5 linked regions of the Coturnix japonica genome follow. The protein of the gene in region 3 interacts with the protein of the main gene of each other region in a pairwise test. Links are inferred from orthologs where the notes say so. Each region holds a gene or a part of one and is shown on either strand. Other genes may lie near its edges. The genes, in order: NME7, USP2, NEFL, SKIL and TEX11.

What was found.
Region 1: the proteins of NEFL (region 3) and NME7 interact in binary tests that used the Homo sapiens proteins (3 or more experiments, as listed by UniProt). The two-hybrid records come from large-scale screens. The link is inferred for Coturnix japonica from reciprocal best matches to the Homo sapiens genes NEFL and NME7.
Region 2: the proteins of NEFL (region 3) and USP2 interact in binary tests that used the Homo sapiens proteins (3 or more experiments, as listed by UniProt). The two-hybrid records come from large-scale screens. The link is inferred for Coturnix japonica from reciprocal best matches to the Homo sapiens genes NEFL and USP2.
Region 4: the proteins of NEFL (region 3) and SKIL interact in binary tests that used the Homo sapiens proteins (3 or more experiments, as listed by UniProt). The link is inferred for Coturnix japonica from reciprocal best matches to the Homo sapiens genes NEFL and SKIL.
Region 5: the proteins of NEFL (region 3) and TEX11 interact in a two-hybrid assay, tested with the Homo sapiens proteins (2 studies listed by BioGRID and IntAct). The two-hybrid records come from large-scale screens. The link is inferred for Coturnix japonica from reciprocal best matches to the Homo sapiens genes NEFL and TEX11.

What each region holds. Positions count from the first base shown.
Region 1 is NC_029516.1:74,973,346-74,976,965, reverse strand, and holds part of NME7 (nucleoside diphosphate kinase 7), read right to left. Parts: intron 3,543-3,620; coding exon 3,435-3,542; intron 751-3,434; coding exon 584-750; intron 1-583. UniProt on the Homo sapiens protein: Possesses an intrinsic kinase activity. Displays 3'-5' exonuclease activity with a preference for single-stranded DNA. Does not seem to have nucleoside diphosphate kinase activity.
Region 2 is NC_029539.1:3,563,941-3,567,560, reverse strand, and holds part of USP2 (ubiquitin carboxyl-terminal hydrolase 2), read right to left. Parts: intron 2,640-3,620; coding exon 2,589-2,639; intron 2,366-2,588; coding exon 2,242-2,365; intron 2,143-2,241; coding exon 2,031-2,142; intron 1,957-2,030; coding exon 1,846-1,956; intron 1,761-1,845; coding exon 1,696-1,760; intron 1,617-1,695; coding exon 1,513-1,616; intron 1,433-1,512; coding exon 1,352-1,432; intron 1,275-1,351; coding exon 1,196-1,274; intron 1,091-1,195; coding exon 983-1,090; intron 908-982; coding exon 787-907; intron 703-786; coding exon 615-702; 3' UTR 1-614. UniProt on the Homo sapiens protein: Hydrolase that deubiquitinates polyubiquitinated target proteins such as MDM2, MDM4 and CCND1. Isoform 1 and isoform 4 possess both ubiquitin-specific peptidase and isopeptidase activities.
Region 3 is NC_029537.1:2,098,566-2,102,943, reverse strand, and holds the start of NEFL (neurofilament light polypeptide), read right to left. Parts: upstream 2,870-4,378; 5' UTR 2,821-2,869; coding exon 1,771-2,820; intron 1,038-1,770; coding exon 870-1,037; 3' UTR 1-869. UniProt on the Homo sapiens protein: Neurofilaments usually contain three intermediate filament proteins: NEFL, NEFM, and NEFH which are involved in the maintenance of neuronal caliber.
Region 4 is NC_029524.1:17,510,152-17,513,771, forward strand, and holds part of SKIL (ski-like protein), read right to left. Parts: coding exon 3,446-3,620; intron 1,245-3,445; coding exon 1,083-1,244; 3' UTR 1-1,082. UniProt on the Homo sapiens protein: May have regulatory role in cell division or differentiation in response to extracellular signals.
Region 5 is NC_029519.1:2,399,156-2,402,775, forward strand, and holds part of TEX11 (testis-expressed protein 11), read left to right. Parts: coding exon 1-16; intron 17-466; coding exon 467-547; intron 548-630; coding exon 631-750; intron 751-2,440; coding exon 2,441-2,521; intron 2,522-3,620. UniProt on the Homo sapiens protein: Regulator of crossing-over during meiosis. Involved in initiation and/or maintenance of chromosome synapsis and formation of crossovers.

The sequences.
Region 1 (3,620 bases), on a different chromosome or scaffold from region 3:
CTGAAAACATTCTCAGATGAAAAACCTCCACAGCAAAAAAAGCAGCAGAGGATAGGAATGGGCTTCTCTTATGTTCCTACTGTTCAGTTACTAATGACAATACAGGGTAGATGCATTTGATAAGGTACTAGCTTTCTGCACAGACTGCAGGGAGGGAGAAGACCATTTTGAAGGATTCTAGCCAGCACCCATTAAGGTTACAACACCAATACTGCACTGAGAGAATCCACAAATCACAAGAATACTATTTCTACTGGCCCTACAGGGAGTAGGAAAGCTGAGCTGGGGCCCATGTTTGCCTTCTCTACCTTTTCTCTTCAGAGAAATCTGGAGGATGCAACATGCGACACCACAGATAAACTGGCCTTGAAGATGTATCAGGTGGGAGGGATAATGGTAGGTTTGCCCACAAGCAGGGAACTGTTTCCCTCCAGCTAACAGTATGCCAGATGACTCCAAACCTCATGCAGACTTGTGACTAATTCCTCCTTTTCCCACGGTACAGGAATCTTACCTCATTTCCAGCAAAGAACAACTACCCCAGTCACAAAGGAAGACTTAAAAAAACAACAGGTTTTCTTACCTCTCTTTGCGGCCCCCTAGCTTGCGCGCTGTATATTGATCCCCATAGTCCACTAAGGAAAGATGACGGGAAAACACAGTAATTTTGTTGCCCACAAACAGATCATCAAGGTGTAAGCTCTCATACTTGGTGCGCTTCAGAAAGGTACGATGGTTCTTCACATCATACTGCAGACAAAAGAAGATTAGAACCTACTACAGCAAGAGATCTTAAGCTGTTGGCAAACTCCACGTAATTCTTACTTTCCCTTCAGAAATTTCCATAGCTCTGTGGGATTTAATCTGATCATTAAATTGATTTAATTCTTAACCCTGTGAACTTGCACGTGCACCAGGAATGCTTAGAGGATAAAACCACACATTTGTTCCAGTTAAATAGTCTCAGGGTGATGGCTGTCTTCACAGTTTTTATTACTTGCTTGTGCTAATTCCAACTATGATAGATGCTTCACATCCCTTGTGGATATCTCTACCCAGTCTCAATGAGAATCCCCCACCCCCTCCAGCAAGTCCATGTTGTTTCACAGGCCAATGGTTTGAAGCAGTAGTGATCATAATACACACTGTGGCAGGTCTCCTCTTCAGGGCACTGTTCCAGTGATATTATGCTTTATTTGACTGCTTAAAACTCTGAATTAAGGATGGATGGATGGCTGCAGCACTACGTTGAGAAGTTCTCAACTGCCTAGAGCTGCAAGCTCAAAAGCCTGTCAAGACGATTCAGCTATGTATGGACATTCTGAGCAAGAAGGAAGACATTAATGTGAGATTTTCTGGGTGGATTGCTAAAGCACAAAAGACAACCTCACAAACAGTTTCTTCCCTGCTACAAGTAAATATTACAGATCCCTTCAATTTCTTGGAGAAACAATCTTAGAAAAGTTTTGTCCTCTTCAGGCTAAACTTTTTTTTTTATTTGATACTTTCTAAGCAGGATTCCATAATAAAATCATCCTTAGCTCTCACCTACATGCTCCAGCTCAGTGCTCTTCAGTTTCAAGAAGAGTCCTATTAACTGAATCATAGTTATTAACTATGGAAAACTTGGATAGTTGGAGATGGCTCTGTCTAAGTACCCAGTCTGATCACAAATGGTTGCTTGCTGTCCCTGGACAAAAACCTGTGCTGCTTTCTAACGGATGCAAAGCAAGCAGGAAACTGGTTGCATTATTTCCACTGTATTTTTCCTTCACGGGAAGGAGCAAGAAAGAAATGGGAAGTTGAGAACTTCACATAACATCAATGTCCAACAGCTCTATTCCACTTTCAGCTGAAGCATGTACAAAGGAAAGTTATCACTGCAGAGGTGAGAGAAAGGTGATGCAACTGCTCTCTCATAAGCAGAGAGAAGCCGGCTCTCGTCCATTACCTTTCTTCTCTGACAATGTACTAGAGGTAAAGTGAGCAGCTGCCATCTCCTCGGGAAGATACAAAAGATCCAGAAGAATTTTGCAGTAATGAAGAAGAAAAAAAAATGCCAAACTCCAAATAAGTTTTCAAAACCATAAATAAATCCAGAAGATAATCTCAAATGTAATTTCTGTCTACAATTCACCTCCAAACTGATCTTGTAGAATTCCTTCTGCAGAGATTCTACATGCATTTTTGCTTTTTTAGCAGTTATATTGATCACACGCAGTCCATGCAAACTCATGACTGCATACACACACTACCTCAACCCTGAGAACACAACTGACTAAATATAAGAACCTACCAAGTTGCAGATGTTTGATGCATAAAGCTCTAAGACAGCCAAAAGCACCTTGAAAGCTCTTGGTTTTGAGACATCCAGGAGAAATGAACAACAATTTTGTCAGCCTACACATGGCTGTGTAGGAAGATTATTACGGCTTCTGACTGATTAGCTTAACTGTGTCTAAGAAAAAAAAATCCTCACGTTTTGACAACTGTGCACACATATCATACAAATAACTAACTTAAAAGGGACAACATCATGGTGGAGTTTGTTTAAAGAGACTATCAGTAAAAAGTGCAAAGTGCATCTCCTCACACAGATGGGTACCGTGGTTTCAGTAAGCAATAGTTTGGATAAGAAAAGTAAGAAAAGGTAGATTCTGATAGTTCTGTTGTTTCTGTGTTTGATGTGTAAGGCAAGAAAGTTTAAGAACTATACTGAAATTAATAGATGTGAATACACAAATTTAGGCTATTCTTAGACCTTCATATGCTCATTAAAATCTAGAAAAGACTAGTAAAAGAATAAATAATCATTAATTCATTCAAAAGGGGAGCACAAAGCATTGGCTATTTTGTTGGATTACCTGTACAGGATTATCTGTACTATATGCTTGTTTTATCTTCATTTTTTTTTTATTGTTAGAAGGCTTAGTTAAATGTACCATAAAATCAGAAAGGTCCATACAAGCACCAATAAGGGGAAAAATTTGTATTCCATTCTCAGAAACATCCTTTCATGCATTAAAACCAAATTAGTTTACCGTTTCCTTCACTTTGATAGAAGTTGTTTACAGTTAATGCTTCAGAGGCTTCTAGAATTCTAACTGAAGCCTACTCTTGTTAGGAATCACCTTCAATTTGTTCCTGCAGTAGGTTGATGGTGCTGAGTTCCAATACTTAAATCCAAGAAAAGATTAAATAAAAACAGATCTGTGAAAATGAAATGCTCCAAGCTTAAGATAAAACTCGTTAACATGGCAGCTCTTGCATGTGCTCCACTATGAACTAGCACATTTGTTTTTCTTCTAGTTTGAAAAACAGACTTATGTCTTAAACTACAACTTAATTACCTGGAAAAACAAATGGCAGTGGTCCATTTTATAAATAGCTTAATTGAGTAATATATTTAAAATTACAGACTTTTTTATTCTTACCATTTCAACTGAGCTATCTTTTGGATAATACAGAAGCTCGTAACGCCGAAAGAGTGAAGCATTCGGGTCATACCATTCAGCAGTGAAAGCAAATCTGTCATCTTGACTCTGCAAAAACAAAAGGGAAGGCTACTGAAGTAATCATACACTTAATAAACTGTACCATTTCCTTGCATTTATTATCAG
Region 2 (3,620 bases), on a different chromosome or scaffold from region 3:
CCCCAGTACTGGAAAGGTGCTGCCCACCCCCCCACCCCCCATAGGACGGACATCCCTGTGCACCCCAAGGGCCTCCCGTGCCCCGAAATGGTTTAAGGCACCGTCGTATAAGGAGGTGGGTCAGCCCCCCCCTGGCGTGAGTCCCTGGGCAGCCAGGAGGGATGGTCCAGGCTGAGAGAAGTCCATGATAAATAGAAAGAAAATCCATGAAGCATTGTCCTCCCTCTTGGCTGTGAGTCCGGGGCTGATTGGAAAGCAGATGGAGGTGGGATGGAGGCAACCAAAGAGCTGCAATCCTCACCAGGAGGTTTGGAAGAGCTGGGAGGAGGCTCGTGGATCCTCAGGGATGGCAGAGTGATATGGAGATGCCAGAAGGGACCCAATTTTGGGTGTCCCCGAGGTCCTGGTGGGGGCAGGCAGCCCCAGGCCCCTTGCTCAGTATTTTTATTACACACCAGAAAGAATGAAGAAAAACCTACCCCAGGGTAAAAAGCAAATGCCAGCGGCCCAGAGGCACCGGGGCTGCCTGGGTTCTGCCCTCATTATGGGGCTTTCTGCTGTTCTTGGGGTGCCCAAATCCAGCTAGGAAGCTCCAAGGGGTGCCCAAGGACTGGCTACATGCGTGAGGATGGGCTGGCCAGCTCGTAGAAGAGCAGGTAAGCATCACTGCTGCGCACGTGGCTGGAGGACATCGGGGTGACGCTGCAGAGATACAAGGAGATGCACTATGAGCAATGGGGTGCCCACACGAGGTCCCCCCTCCCCGTGCCACCTGCGCAGCCTCACCGGGAATCATTGAAGCTGTGCCACTCGCTGGAGATGGGGCTCTTGCAGTAGGCAGTGTAGTGTCCCCCCATGGTGGTGCCCGAGTGGTTGGAGATGGCATAGAGGTTGTAAACAGCGTGGTCTGTGGGGACAGGGTGAGGATCAGTGGTGCCCACACGTGAGCTCTGAGCTCTGCCCTCCCAGCACCAGCACTTACTGCAGCTCTGCGAGGCGAACTCCCTCAGGTCCAGGTCCTTCAGTGGGAAGTTGACAAAGGTGGTGAGTTTGCTGGCTCGTATCCTGGATTCTGAGAAGCGTTTCAGGTCTGGAGGGGGTCCCATGTCAAGGAAATGGGGAGCAATAGGGAGCCTGCAAAGAGCTGCCACCCCATGCCAGCCCCACCAACCCCATTTATCAGTACAAAGGATACGGAGCACCAGGATCTTGGGGAACTTCTGGATGCTGAATTTCTTCGTGCACCGCGTCCTGGCTTTACAGCGACAACACGTCTGCAGGCAGTGAGCAGTACGGTGAGATCCCATCCTACACCCATTAACTCCCTGTGCCCCCATCCCACACCCCGTACCGGTTTCTCATCCCCATCCAGAACGTCTTCTTTGGTGAAGAGCCGCAGGCAGTCCATCAGGGTGACTTCCCCGTAGCCTTTCTGTAGGAGGAGGGCACAGTCAGGGGCACAGGGTATGGGGCACAATGTGTGGGGTGGGGGGACAGGGAATAGCACCTCACCTTGGGGATGGGCAGGGAGAGGTCCCAGAAGGGATCAAAGGCTGTGGAGCAGTAGCCGCATTCGCTGCAGGTCAGCGAACTCTTCAGCTGCCCAACAAAGAGATCTGGGGGCGAAAGGATGGAGAAGGGTGAGACCCCCAGCCCCAGCCCCCTGCCTGCCCCCTCCCCTCCCCATATACTCACCAGTAACACGGCTGTCCTCCCGCTCCTGGTACCTCCGCCACATCTGGCGGCTCTTCTCATCATCACTATGAGACAGAGGGACAGAGCTGCTGAGCAATGCTGGGACCTCCAGGCATCCAGCCCCCACCCCACTGCCCACCCCACACTTACGGGAGGTGGTCCAGGGTGTCAGCACTGGCTCGTGGCCGCACCAGCACACGGTTCACCTCACTGTGCAGCCCATCCAGGAGGAAGCGCAGGAACTCTTGTGCATCCTGCTGGCTGTAAGGCAAAAGGAGACGGATGTGAGACCCCCATGAGACCCACATTACCAGCCCCACACCGCCGGTCCCTACTTGTATCCAACAAAACGTGGGGCGTATCTCTGGATCTGCGTCTTGAACTCGGAAGGGCTCACGCTGTCATTGGGGGATGAGGTCCAGAGCAGCTGGATCAGCTTTGCAAACTCTGCGTACAGAAAGGAAGCTCAGCGATATGGGGAGGGGGAATGAGCCCCACTGCTGTCCCCATCCTGCCCCCCTCCACCCCCAACCCCACTGTTGATACCTGACATGAGCGCGGTGCGCATGCGGCTGTTGTTGTTGAGGTCCCGCAGGTACTGGTTCTGCAGGCAGTAATCCCGCAGCTCCTTGGTGTTGCTCAGGCACTGCAGGATGGAGTTCATGAAGCACTGGGGGAGGCAGAAAACCATGGCAACGTGAGGCGGAGGGAGGGAGGCGGGTGGTGACAGGGGGGGACCTTGGGGCGGGTGGGCAGGAGATGGGGACAGAGCAGGGGGGAGAGTGGGGAAGGGTTTGTCCACCTGCACCACTGGATGCTGGGGTCCTTAATGTGCCCATAGAATGGCACTTTGTGGGCTGGGGCTGTGCCTACAGAAGGGGATGAGCACTCACCGTATTGCCGAGGTTCCGCAGCCCAGTCAGTCCCTGCACCGCCTTGGAGCTCTGCAGAGAGAAGGAGCAGGGCTGTGACAGGCTGCCTGTGAGCAGCCCGTGGGGCCACCAGCACCCCTGTGGGGCAGCCCCACATGGGCATGTGGGGGCATTTGGGGCGCTCTTGGCACTGCCATGCATAGGAGAAGCCTGAGGACCCATTGCTCACCCAGCTGCCTGGCCTGGGATGACTCCCAAGGCTCAAAGTCCTTCTTGCTGCCCTATGCCCTGCAGGCTACACTGGCCACCCCCTGCCTCTCCCTGCCAACCCTATGCCCTGGGAAGCCGGGGGTGGCTGTGCTCCATGCCTGCCCTATGGCTCAATGGGGTGTCCTGCTGCTGCCCATCCCTCCAGGGCACCCCATACATGTGCCACCCTCCAGAAGCATGGCTGTATTGTGGGATAAAGTCCAGAGAAGGCGTTGACAGGGCGAACCTCCCGACCTGCACCCATCACAGCCACAACTCCCGGTCCACCCCCAGGCGTGAGTTGGGGGAGGAGGAGGAGAGGAGGGGGCTCGTCAGCTCTAAAATAGCAGCAGCTGGTGCGCGTGTGGGAGGTGCTGAGCACCCAGCCCTGACAGCAGCCCAAAATAACCCAGATACAGTTACACGTGTGCCATAGCGATGCTGCAGGCATCACCCAGAGCAGGGGCACAGCACCGATGGGCACCCAGGTGCCCCATGCCGGGCACACGTGGCTCTGCATGCAAACCATGCCCGCAGCACGGAGCTGGCCCAGCGGCCCCACAGCCCCCATCCCTTTCCATGGGGTAAGGATGCACAAGAACCCCAATGCCGTGGCCGTGGCTGCACCAAGGTCAGATTTCCCCCTCACGTTTTCCCTTCCCTGGGTGACTCAACTCCAGCTAATCCCCCTCGCCCGGCCGGGGCTTTATCTAGGACACGGCTGGGCTCATAGGAGGCAGAGCAGAGCTGGCTCACGCGGCAGCGGCGGTGGCTGGGGAGTCCCTGAGGCTGCACTGCGGGAGG
Region 3 (4,378 bases):
GAAAGAACAAGCAAGCAGATGCCTTAGCTATGCTGCAGACTCAGCTATGGGCCAATATGCTTTGAGCAGCACAAGCTCTAGAGGCTGCATACTCAGGAGTGCAAATATAACCATATTAATGGTACAGCAATAGCAGCCTGATCTTGGGAAAATTTTAAAGCTTCAGAGTTGTGTATTACTTTGGAATCAGTACTTCTCATTGGGAGAAACAATGGGGAACACACCCCCAGGATTAGGTTTCTACAACAGGTAGAAATACAGATGTATTTCAATAAGCTATGTTGTTCCAGACAACAGTATGGATGTAACAGCTCTATGCCACAGTTAACTGTAAGACAAGGTTTATAGCCACCTTCAGTATTCCCCCTGTGGGGCTCTTAGAAACCATTTCAGCACTTACTGGCATCCAGGATGATTTCTTTTTGCTATTTAAAAGTAATTCTTTAGTAAGATAATGGCTTAGCAAGGCACAGCTTGTGAGTTAGAAAGAAACCTCATTGTTAAAGGTGTCTAAGGGATTTTAAGTCCTGAGAATAAAGCCACCTATATTAACAAGTCTTAATGATATAAAAGCATTGTAGAGCGAAGAGATTTGAGCTCCTAGGTACAAGAACACACTTTACTTGTAAAGATGGAGAACTGAGATTACACAGCTGAGTTCCTAATTCCCTATGCATATATATATATATATGAACAGTATGATGTTCATGTTTGCTATGCAGCACAGATTCTGTTTAACACAAGCTGTTACCTTAAAAGCGCTGCTTCTTCCAAATAGAAAGCCAAGGAGAAAATCTTATTAAATTCTGCCACCAATGGCACTCTCTGCTGGAGGAAAACTAAGTAGGAATACGCATAAAAAGGAGAACCTAATTCACATTATGGTTTATTGAAACACCTCCCCCATCATACCTGTAGGTAGCAATCTCAATGTCCAGGGCCAGTTTGACGTTGAGCAGATCCTGGTATTCCTTTAGGTACCGACCCATCTCGCTCTTTGTGGTTCTCAATTCATTCTCTAGTTTGTTGATTGTATCCTGTTGGAAGGCAGAACACAAGCAATGCAAAAAACCTTTGTGTATATCAACAATGCTTGCAAGAATTCCAGCACCCTCATCACTTCACCTTGATAGAAGGAGAACAGCTCCACATCCCAAAGTGCACAAAGCAACACTGCTTAGCAATGCTGGCACATCTTCCACCCCTACATCTCTATCAATAGCTTCATTCCCTATCATTTAAGGAATAACATTTCTTATGATTCAAGGGCTAAAGCATTCATGAGCTGTGCATGCTTCATTGACAACTGCGCTTCCCCCTCATGCTTTTCCTAATGCTAAGTGAATTCATTGCAATTTGAGGACAGAAGCATCTATGAGCAGCATATACCCCACTTCATTTATGACATCTGTGCTTTTCCCTTACGCTCTCTCTAGCACTAATGCTATTTTTAAGCCAATTCCTAGCTATTTGATTATTTAAGCACTAAGGAATCCATGAGCTGTGCATGCTTTATTTGATTTTTTAACATCTACCCCTAGTTTAACCGGGATATTTTAAGTGCATTTATACTAATTCTCTTATTTAAGGTCTAAAAAGCTGCCTGTGCTTTGTTTTGCTGCTGGTTTTTGATGCATGTGCATTCCCCTTAATGCTTTTCCTACTGTTAAGGCGATTTATAGCAGCATCCTTAAGGATGCCTCAGACCACAATGCTGCACTATGCCACGAGATATCGCTGTGCATCCGCAGCCTCCTCAAACCAACTCACCTGCAGCGCTGAGATATCAGCGCTCTGTTTCTCCTCCAGCTCCTGCAGCTGCTTCTCCAGCGCTTCGTTCATACCACGGGTAGCTTCGATCTCCAGCGTCTTGGCCTTAAGCAGCCTGCGGCTCTCGGATACCTCATCCTTGGCGGCTCGGACGGCGTCTGTGTTCTTAGCAGCGCTTTCGCTGAGCACAGTGAAGCGGCTTCGGAACCATTCCTCGGCGTTCTGCATGTTACGAGCCGCCAGCTTCTCGTACTGAGCGCGGATATCGCGCAGCGCAGCCGACAGATCGGGCTTGGCCGACACGTCCATCTCCACCGACAGATGAGCGTATTGGATCTGAGCTTGCAGCTCGGCCAGCTCTTCCTCGTGCACCTTCTTAAGGAAGGCCAGCTCATCCAGCAGGCTGTCCACGCGCTTTTCCAGCTCCGCTCGTGCCAGCGCTGCTTCATCCGCTCCCTTGCGCACCTCCAGCAGTCGAGCCTCAGCATCCTCGCGGCTCAGCACCTCCTCTTCGTAGCGAGCCTGCAGCCCCCTCAGGGTCTCCTCCAAGCTCTCCCTCTCTCCTTGCAGCGCTTGCTTCTCGCTCGTCGCTTCCTCGGCGGCCAAGCGGAGCTCGCGGATCTCCTGCTCGTAGAGGGCTCTGAAACGGGACGGCTCGGCGTGTTTCTGCCGCAGCACCAGCAGCTCGGCCTCCAGCACTTTGTTCTGCTGCTCCAGCTCGTGCACCCGCTCGATGAAACAAGCGAAGCGGTCATTGAGATCCTGCAGCTGGGCCCGCTCTTGGCTACGGATCGACTTGAGGTCGTTGCTGATGGCGGCTACCTGGCTTAGATCTAGGCTGTCTACCGAGTGCAGGAGGGAGCCTGAAGCGCTGGAGGTGGCGTAACTGCGGCGCACAGACACGGAGGAGACGGGTGCGGAGAGGCTGGAATACGCCGAGCGAGCTGAGCTGTAACCACCGCTCCGCATCGCGGAGACGTGCAGCCGGGGGCTGTCAGCATAACGCCGCTTGTAAGAGGGGAAGAACGGGTCGTAGCCGTACGAGCTCATGGCTGTAGAGGGGATCAGCGAGGGCTCTGCGGACCGGTACCGCCCGAACGCTGGTATTTATGGACGGGGAGGGTGGGAGGAACGACAGCCGGGCGGGGATGGGGCGGAGCGCTGCGTTGAGGCTGCTGTAATGGTGGGGGTCTGTGATGAGCCCGGATGATTATCAGAGCTGGTGATGAAGCGGGTGGGCTGCGTTCACTTTGCAGCTCCATCGTATTCGCCCCACATCGCTATTTTCTCTCGTGCCGCTCTGATGGATCCCCGGGGTTGCAAAGCCCCATCTCGGATCACGATATTGAACCATCACCCCTCTGTACCTCATCACCCCCTCTCGTACCTCAGAAACCCCTGAACGTGTGTATAAATAGCTCATTTCACCTTCCTTTCCCCTTTATGTTTGCAGTTCCAGCGAGGCTCCAGCCTTTCTCCCTCCGTCCTCACCACGTGCATTGTTAGCAGTGGTTCCTAATGACCAGGTAATGGTGAAAGAAAAGACAGTATGTGGTTTGTTGTACCAGCAAAATGCATTAATTCTTGGTTATTCAGCTTTGCTTCATCCTTTGAAACACTCACAGGGGCAAATTTAGAGCATAAGGTCTGAATATTTGGCACAATCTGACTACAGCAGAGACTAAAGCTGCATGGCTCCATCACAGCTACCCCTGGCCCAGGTTATGAGCTGCTAAGAAGAATAAAACAGTATTTACACAGCAGAGATTGCATCTTAAAAATGAAATAGGGAAACATAGCCCAAAAGGTGGTGGTACGTTGTCTCTATGTTGTCTCTCTGACTTAGAAGGGCTAATTTTAGTCCAATACACTTTCCAGGTTTTGCTTAAGGAAGAAGCAAATGCTGAAGCAGCATTTCTTAGCAGGAAGTACTGCAAAAACCTTCTCTTGCTCCCTAAGGAAAGGAGAAAGAAGTAGAATCTGTGTACCTGTCACCAATTGCAATGGTGCTCAGGTTATTTCTTGCATAAAGATAAGCTTGCTTAATGTGAATCATATAATAAAAGCGAGGCAGGGATGGTTTCATTGGGTTCCTTTCTATCTTCTAGTGCTCTCAGAATATTACCTGTTGTTTAGTATCACTCCCATAGGTTACACTGTACTTGATGGTGAGGTGTATTAAGCTGTGTAAGGCAATGGCCCCTCAAAGGCAGAAAGCTGTAATCTCTTCTCATTTGAGCTCACGTTGGATGGAATCAAGCGTGCAAAGAGCAAATAAAAGCTCGCACGTTGCTCCTTCACAGTAAGATTGTGTAGATTGCAGAGCACGTGGGGAAGTAAATGAGCAACGTAGGCACTGTAGCAGATGGGAAGACTCACAGTAGGTTTGTTTGGAAATTCAATGAGCTTCTAAATAACAAATAGTTCTGGGATACTCAAGAAGTGCAAACTGACATGCTCTGTATCAAGCCAATGGATTAACACTACTCTCTTCCCAATTTAATTCTGAGCCTTCAATACCTTCACTCCAAATCTCATAACAATAAGGGTCATAATTGTAGTCCATTATTATTTATATGTCTTTTTTATATCATTTTAGAGAGGGAAA
Region 4 (3,620 bases), on a different chromosome or scaffold from region 3:
TTCTAAGCAATTATCACAATGTCAGTTAAGGCCTGTTCCATGTATAGAAAGAAAAATTCACAAGTTAAAAGGAAGCTTAAAGTGTAGAGGCTTCAGATACTAAATAAACCAGTACTTTTTTTTTGTTTCTTTTAATAAATATTACTTTCCTTGGAAGCATTAGTATCTGAAAACCAGGCAAGCCATGGAATCCACAAGTCTGTGCTGGAAGGGACAGTCAAAGATCATCTAGCTGCTACCTCTGTGCCATGGGACATGGAGGGACACCCTCCACCAGATCAGGTTGCACAAAGCGCCGTCCAACCTCACTTTGAACACTTACAGTGATGAGGTACTCAACACTTTGTTGGGCGACGTGCTCCAGGGTCTCACCATTAGCCAACAAATAAATTCTACTTTCTTTCAACTTCAAATCACTGCCCCTTGTCCTATAGCTACCAACCTCTAATTGTTTTGTTCTTCCAGCACGGTGACCAAACACCTGCTCCAAAACTGTTTACTGAATAAGTTAGCTTGACTTCACGTAACAGAATTATGGAAAACTCATGCCGGTAAATCACTTCTGATAATCATCCATCCATTGTCATGGTGATTTTGAGGATTACCTCACATCTGCCTTTCGACTTTCCCCAGTTTAAGGAAGACAAAATTCTCACTGAAAACTCAACTATTTTTGGCCTTGAAGAAATTAAGATTTTTTTTTTAAAGTACTTTTATAACCGGGTGTGAAATCGATAGTAAAATACGGATCACCAAATCTGTTTTAACAGACAGTGTTAAAAGGTACAGGGTCCTCAAGGGCTGCATTAGAACTAAACAGAAACTGGTCACTCTAAATCAGAAGTTTCTTATTTTCTCCTAGTTTGAGAAACACCAGTACAAATAAATGCAGATTTCCATTGGTTAGGAAAATCTAAAAACGCGTACCTATCTATCTTCTTATATATATATATATTCATCTGCATTTGTATGGCAAATAGAAATCTGTAGAGAATACTTCTTATCACACAGAAACTGCTTACAATTCGTTAAAAAACGAAACACCCTGTTTGAAGGACACAGTCACACTCGTCTTCCAATTTCTATTTTCCATTTCCATGTTTTGAAGATTTCAAGATCTGCAGCTTCAATTCTTTTATCATCATCTCTAACTTCTCCCTCGCCTCTCGTTCTTGTCTCAGTTCATCCTGAAGCTCCTGTCTATCTGCCTCTGCGTGGTCCAGCCTCTGTCTCAGTTCTGCTAGCTGTAAGATAGAGGAGAAGGATTTAATTTTAACAAAAATATTTGTGCAATATAATAGAGAGTAAAGCAAAGAGTTTTGCATGAGACTGTCAAACCACTAACGGCATCAGCAGAAGAGTGTTAATCCCACGTGTGATGTGTTCAGTTGTTTGAGTCTAATTTATTAAAGCTGGACTTTCAGACTGAACCAAGTAACTACACAGTAGAAAATCAGTGGTAAACCCCAATGATTCAGAACATTAGTCATCTCAGCTGAACCATTTACAAAATGGAATCATTAAAATAAAACCAAAAAACAGCTTAACAACCACTGTTTGTATATGCATATAAATACCATACCTTGTATTAATAATAAGAAACTACTTTGAATTTATTAGGGTCTGTTCTTTCCCACCAAAACTTCTTCACAATACAACTCAGATGAATCTTTCAAGTGTGGCAAAGTTACTGCCAAGTTGCTTATATGTATACCACCAGCAGTCACAACAGGAAGACGAAAGCCACTTATCTTCTCTACCATGGGTTTAAGTAGTTGTTTCTTAAGAAAAGACCTCACTGAATCTAAAATCCTTCTGCACTTACGATGTTGGGCTTCCATCTGAATAATCACTACGTGTACATCTCGCTGATAAAAGACAGCTCATGACAGCAAAGAAGTGCAGAAGCACATAAAAACATTGCTGTTTGCTGTAAAGTGCAGTGAGAAAAGGAACTCCTGTATCAATTTTACAGAAAAATACTTCTCCTTATACAAGATGAACATTCATTGAATGTAAGTAGCTTTCAGACAGCATGAGCCTATTAATGTGAGTCTTCTGACTCCACTACTTAGATGCAGACTGGTGCAGCACAGCAATGCCCATTGCCTGCATGTCACAGCACGCAATACAAAATCAGCATGTCTGTGGTGGAGCTTTTGTTTTCACCTATAAAGAAAGGCTTAAGTACTGGTTATACTGCCCTATTGTGACTGATGGGGTAAAGCAACAATTAAACCGGGTAAGTCAGTAAAGGACTGAAAAAAGGGGGAACACTTCGTGCACCTTCAGACAGGCCTGGACAGAAGAACAAATGTTTACCAAAACTCCAAATCCCCTATTATTAATTTCATTTAATGTACAATGAAGGCTTTTCCCAGTCCACAGTTCTCAGAGAGGGCAGCTGGCTTCAAGAAAACATCACATTAAGGCTATTTTAAATGCAATATATGCAGCTTGGGGAAAATAACTGTTGTCACGACCTCTGTTTAACTCAGGTACAGCTGACAACTGCTTGGAACCCATGATCCAAAGTGTACTGTAAGATGTGATAAATGGAGAAAAAGATTCCAATGACATGTTCCAAGTAGCTCTACAGTACAACTAATAACAGGATAAACTTTCATGGGAGGAATACATTTAGCATTCTAACATCAAAAGAAAAAATCATCCAAACTCCTTGGAGAACAATCCATTGTTTTTATCCTCTAAAGAAAGTATATGCTAGACAAGCCATATAAAACACGCTACACATGATCATCAACTAGAACATGTTGTTACTTGCAGTAACAGGGCTTGTACCAGATGTTTGGTAAATCAGACCTTAGTCAGAGAGGATTACTTCTGGCAGCAAAGGCCAGGAATCCGTGGAGTGGGATGTCATGAAATTAAATTCATGAGAAGGATTTATGGTGCTAGTCTCTGCCCTACTCCCTAAAAATACAAAAACCTGTATCTCAAGTAGAACCTGTTTCTTATTTTAAGACTGTATGAACAGCAAATATACAGAACTATAATTGTGACCGTAAAGCTTAAGTTTAAGATTTTGTTTGTTTCAAAAGACTGTTTTCTGTGCAACGTACAGAAGTGCAGTACAATGTACTTCAACACGTTTCTATAGCCAAAGCAATTGTGCTTAGTTCTATAACACGGACAAGCTTATATACATTAAACGTGACTTGCTTAGAATGTCATAATCCTTATGTTTAACTATTTAATCAGTCATATCATACAAATATCTGACAAAGAAAATCCTAACATCTGACAGGCGACATGTTTCTATAAGCTACATTTTAGCTCTGTCTCAATCAAGGGACAAGGAAGTAAATCTGCTATCGCTGTGACTAAGATGGAGAAGACGAAACCTTGCAGTTGATGAGCAATAACTTCATATTCACTCACGCACTAAACATGATTTGGTTTGAAACAGACTTTCCCTTCTCACCTGTGCTGCATATTCTGCTTCCTTGTCTTTCTCTGAACTGGAGTCACAGGTACACTTCTGCTTCATCATTTGGTCCAATTTCTTCTCCAAGTCTCTCTGCTCAAAATAAAACTCTTCCATTCTTTGAGCGTGTTCGGTTTGCAAAGATTCGAGTTCTTTTTGCAAATTCTGCTGC
Region 5 (3,620 bases), on a different chromosome or scaffold from region 3:
TCGGAGGCAGATTTTGGTAAGGCTGATGGCAGGTGAGCAGTGAAGTACAGCTGGTGGCTGTGGGAAACCTTGGAAACCTATTGCAGTTACTTTGGAAAGTGAGTGAGAGATGCCTGTAAATTATGGAAAGTGAGTGAGAGAAGATAACATGCTGAAGGTGGGCCCGTGTTATCAAAGGGATGCCTTGCTGAGTCAATGCAGTTAGCACCACATCTTTGTCGTGTGTTAAGACGTTGTAAGAGCAGCACGTTCATTTATTTCAGTATCTTACAGTGTTGTATAGTGGAGCACCTTAAGCCTCGTGCTGCAAGTAGAGTTAATTCAGATGTGAGAGACACTTGTGACAAACTGAAGAGCTGGAATACCTCTCACCTACACTATATATATATCAGTAAGAAGGGATTTAACACTGGCTGTCCTGGAAGTGATTGGATTTTCACAAAGCACCAATCATTTTCTCCTTCAGATGTCGATGAAAACTGGTAAAGGGTGGATAGATATTGGCAAAGCTGATCTTGCTGATGGTTTCCTAGAGATTGCTATAAATGTAAGTTCTTTTCTGATTCTAGTTCTTCATAAACACACCTATTTGTGACCTCCATGGGGTGATGCTTAAGCTTTGTTTTCCAGAGCATAGAAAAACTGTATGCGAAATTACGTAAGGAGGGCAATGGTGAAGCAGATATTCATGTGTGCAAAGCTGACGTGGAGAAGGACCTCTTCAAAGTGCTCTCTTATCAGGCTGAATCGGTACGTGTTCCTCCCAGCTCTCTTTATAAATCCCTAGGGGGGTATGGAGAGAAACTCTGACCCGTTAATTAGTTGTATGAATGCATGGCACTGCAGGCTTGCTGAAGGATATATTTCCTTTGGTTAGATGTAAGGTATCAGATGTGATGTTTGAATGTGGTGTTGCAATAATGTAATGGGTTTTAATTTGCCTAATTTATCGCAGTCATTTCTGCTGCCTTGTTTATATCTTCTCGTTCAGATTTGTTGCTCTGTAATTTGGGTGTTTATACAACAGCTGCCTTTCTGAATCACGTGTCAATTCCAAAGGTGACCTGTGCTTGCCCAAGGAAGGGGATAGAACTGCCTTAGAGCCTAGGTCCCTATAACTGCTTTTGTGTAGCATGTACACAGCACAATTGGTCATTTCAAAGCACTCCTCAGACTGTGCTGGGATTTGCAACTAAACTGTTTGAAAAGCAAAAGAAGGTGCTGGTGGTGGTTCATGTCTGACAAGCAGATGTTCTGAGCCACAGCTCCAGAGTTTTCTCTACCTTACAAGTTTCTTGACTCTTATGAGCAATATAATCAAAGGTATTACTGTTCAATGTTGTTGGATAGAAACCTTCCTATACATGGATACCCTCCTTTCCATGAACCCCAATACATGCTGCTTTTCACATATAAAGGCCTTGAAACAGTGGGAGAATGGGTAGAAAAAGGCAATATTTGAAAATAATGAGTTCCATGACATTTGAAATTCTCCTTAAAGTCTCAGCCTCTGTCATCATACAACGAGGTAGGAATTATGATTGATAATTTAAAGATAGAAGTCTAGCTGAATGTGAGAGGTTTCAAAATATGCTGAGTGTTTTCCAGGGGATCAGTAAGGCAGATTAAATCAGAAATTCTGTGTTTTGAGAGGCATTGTCCTGATTTTTGCTGCCTGACTGAAGCTTCTGAGTACTTTGTCAACACTGCAGACTATTATGGACGTATGGGTGTAAATATGAGATAATTCAGCTGCTTCCATTTGCTGATAGCAGCGCTGATCTCAGAATCCAGAAGGGGAGCACTGTCTTCAAAACAATGAAGAGCTTCCCCAAACAGACCAAATCAGTGGCCAGAATTTTTCATTTAATTTCTAGTTGATAATGGAGACAAAAGAGAATCACTCAGAATGACCCGGGTTGGAAGGGACCTCAAGTATCATGTAGTTCCAACCCCCCTGCCTAGCAGGGCCACCAAACATACACCTTTACTAGATCAGGTTGCCCATGGCCCCGTCCAACCTGGTCTTGAACACCTCCAAGGACGGGGCATCCACAACCTCCCTGGGCAGCCTGTTCCAGGGCCTAACCACTCTCCTAGTGAAGAAAAAGAGGACCTTACATTACTGGAAAGGTGTTGCAAGATTTGTTAAGCTGGCCAAGATTTGCTGTTATCTGACATCTGTTTGAATCAGTGCCACGGATCTGACCTTTTCACACTACCTGTGGGCTGCAGGGCCCTCCTGGATGCCTTTCAGTGTGTAAAAGTGTACTGAACTATTGTAGCACCATAAGGACAGATGTCTGATCTCAAACTTGGCTGTACTGAATGCAAAAAAAGGCCTACAATCCAAGTCTTTTTTTTTAGACACCCAGTCTTGTAACAGATTTTAGAGGCAAGTAGTTAACTTACAGATTGTTGGCGTGCTCTGCTTTCCTAGGCAGTTGCTCAGGGGGATTTTCAGAAAGCAATGCAATGTGTGCAGCGCTGCAAGGACATGTTGGTGAGGCTGCCAAGAGAGGTTAGTGAAATCATACCTTCTTTATCATGCCAAACTTTGAAGGTCTATTTTCCTCCCCATACATTAAAGAATGACATATGCTACATTACAGAACTGTTTCTTTGGGATTTTCTTAACTGCAAGTTTTGTGTAGAAGTGATGAGGTTTTTTTTCATTCCAAGTTTTGAGTTTTTCCATTTGCTCATAGATTATCATTTGAAATAGAACGATAAAACCTTCCTAACGAATGTGTGAAGGCAAATATCCAAGACAGGCAAAAGGATTTCTAAATAGAGTATGACAGTCAAACAGCTGTGCCTCTTGATCTTGTGTCTTGCTTCTTTGCTTTTACCGGTGAACTTTTGTCTGGAAACAGGTGTGCCCAGAGATGAGCTGAGCTGCTGGGCTTTTGATATGCAAGTCTACCCTCAGTACTAATCTTCATGTTAATGAAGCTGCAGAGCTATGGGAACGCTCACTGCTCAGAGAGCTGCCAGGTTTATGGGAGTGCTTTGTGTTATGCACCATGCCTGAAATACAGTCGTTCACTCTGTTTTAGTTATGAGAGCGATCATTTTTTTTTTTTTCACCCGCACTGAATCTGTGCTTTTGTCTCTGGATTGCAATGAGGTCAGAAATAAATCAGTTTAAAGCAAGATGCTGTTCTCCAGCTCTCATTCTTGGCTGAGGGTTTGAATTCCCTTGCAAGGAGCACGTTTTGTACTTTGAAAAGACAGTTACCACGGAGGCGAAATGGATGCAAATATTAGCAGTCTGCTAGCATTGAAAATGCTTTTCTGTCTCCTCTTTGGACAGCTGTGAACATGACAGTTGCAAATCATTTCTGCTGAAAGACGAGTTGTTATGAACAGATACTGTCAGGCCTGACTGATAAAGCAGAAAGCAATGGTACTCTGAATAACCACGCATTCAGTCTGAATAACCAAGCATTCAAACACATATTTCTCCTCGATCTGGTGGTGTGGATCATCCTTTTATAATGCAAAGGTGCATGCTGGAAAAAAAGGGCTGTCATGCAGGAGGTGGAGTTCTGTTCATTGAATGATACAAAATTAAAGCTCATTAGTCATTTTTGAAAAGGAAGTTATAACATTCCATC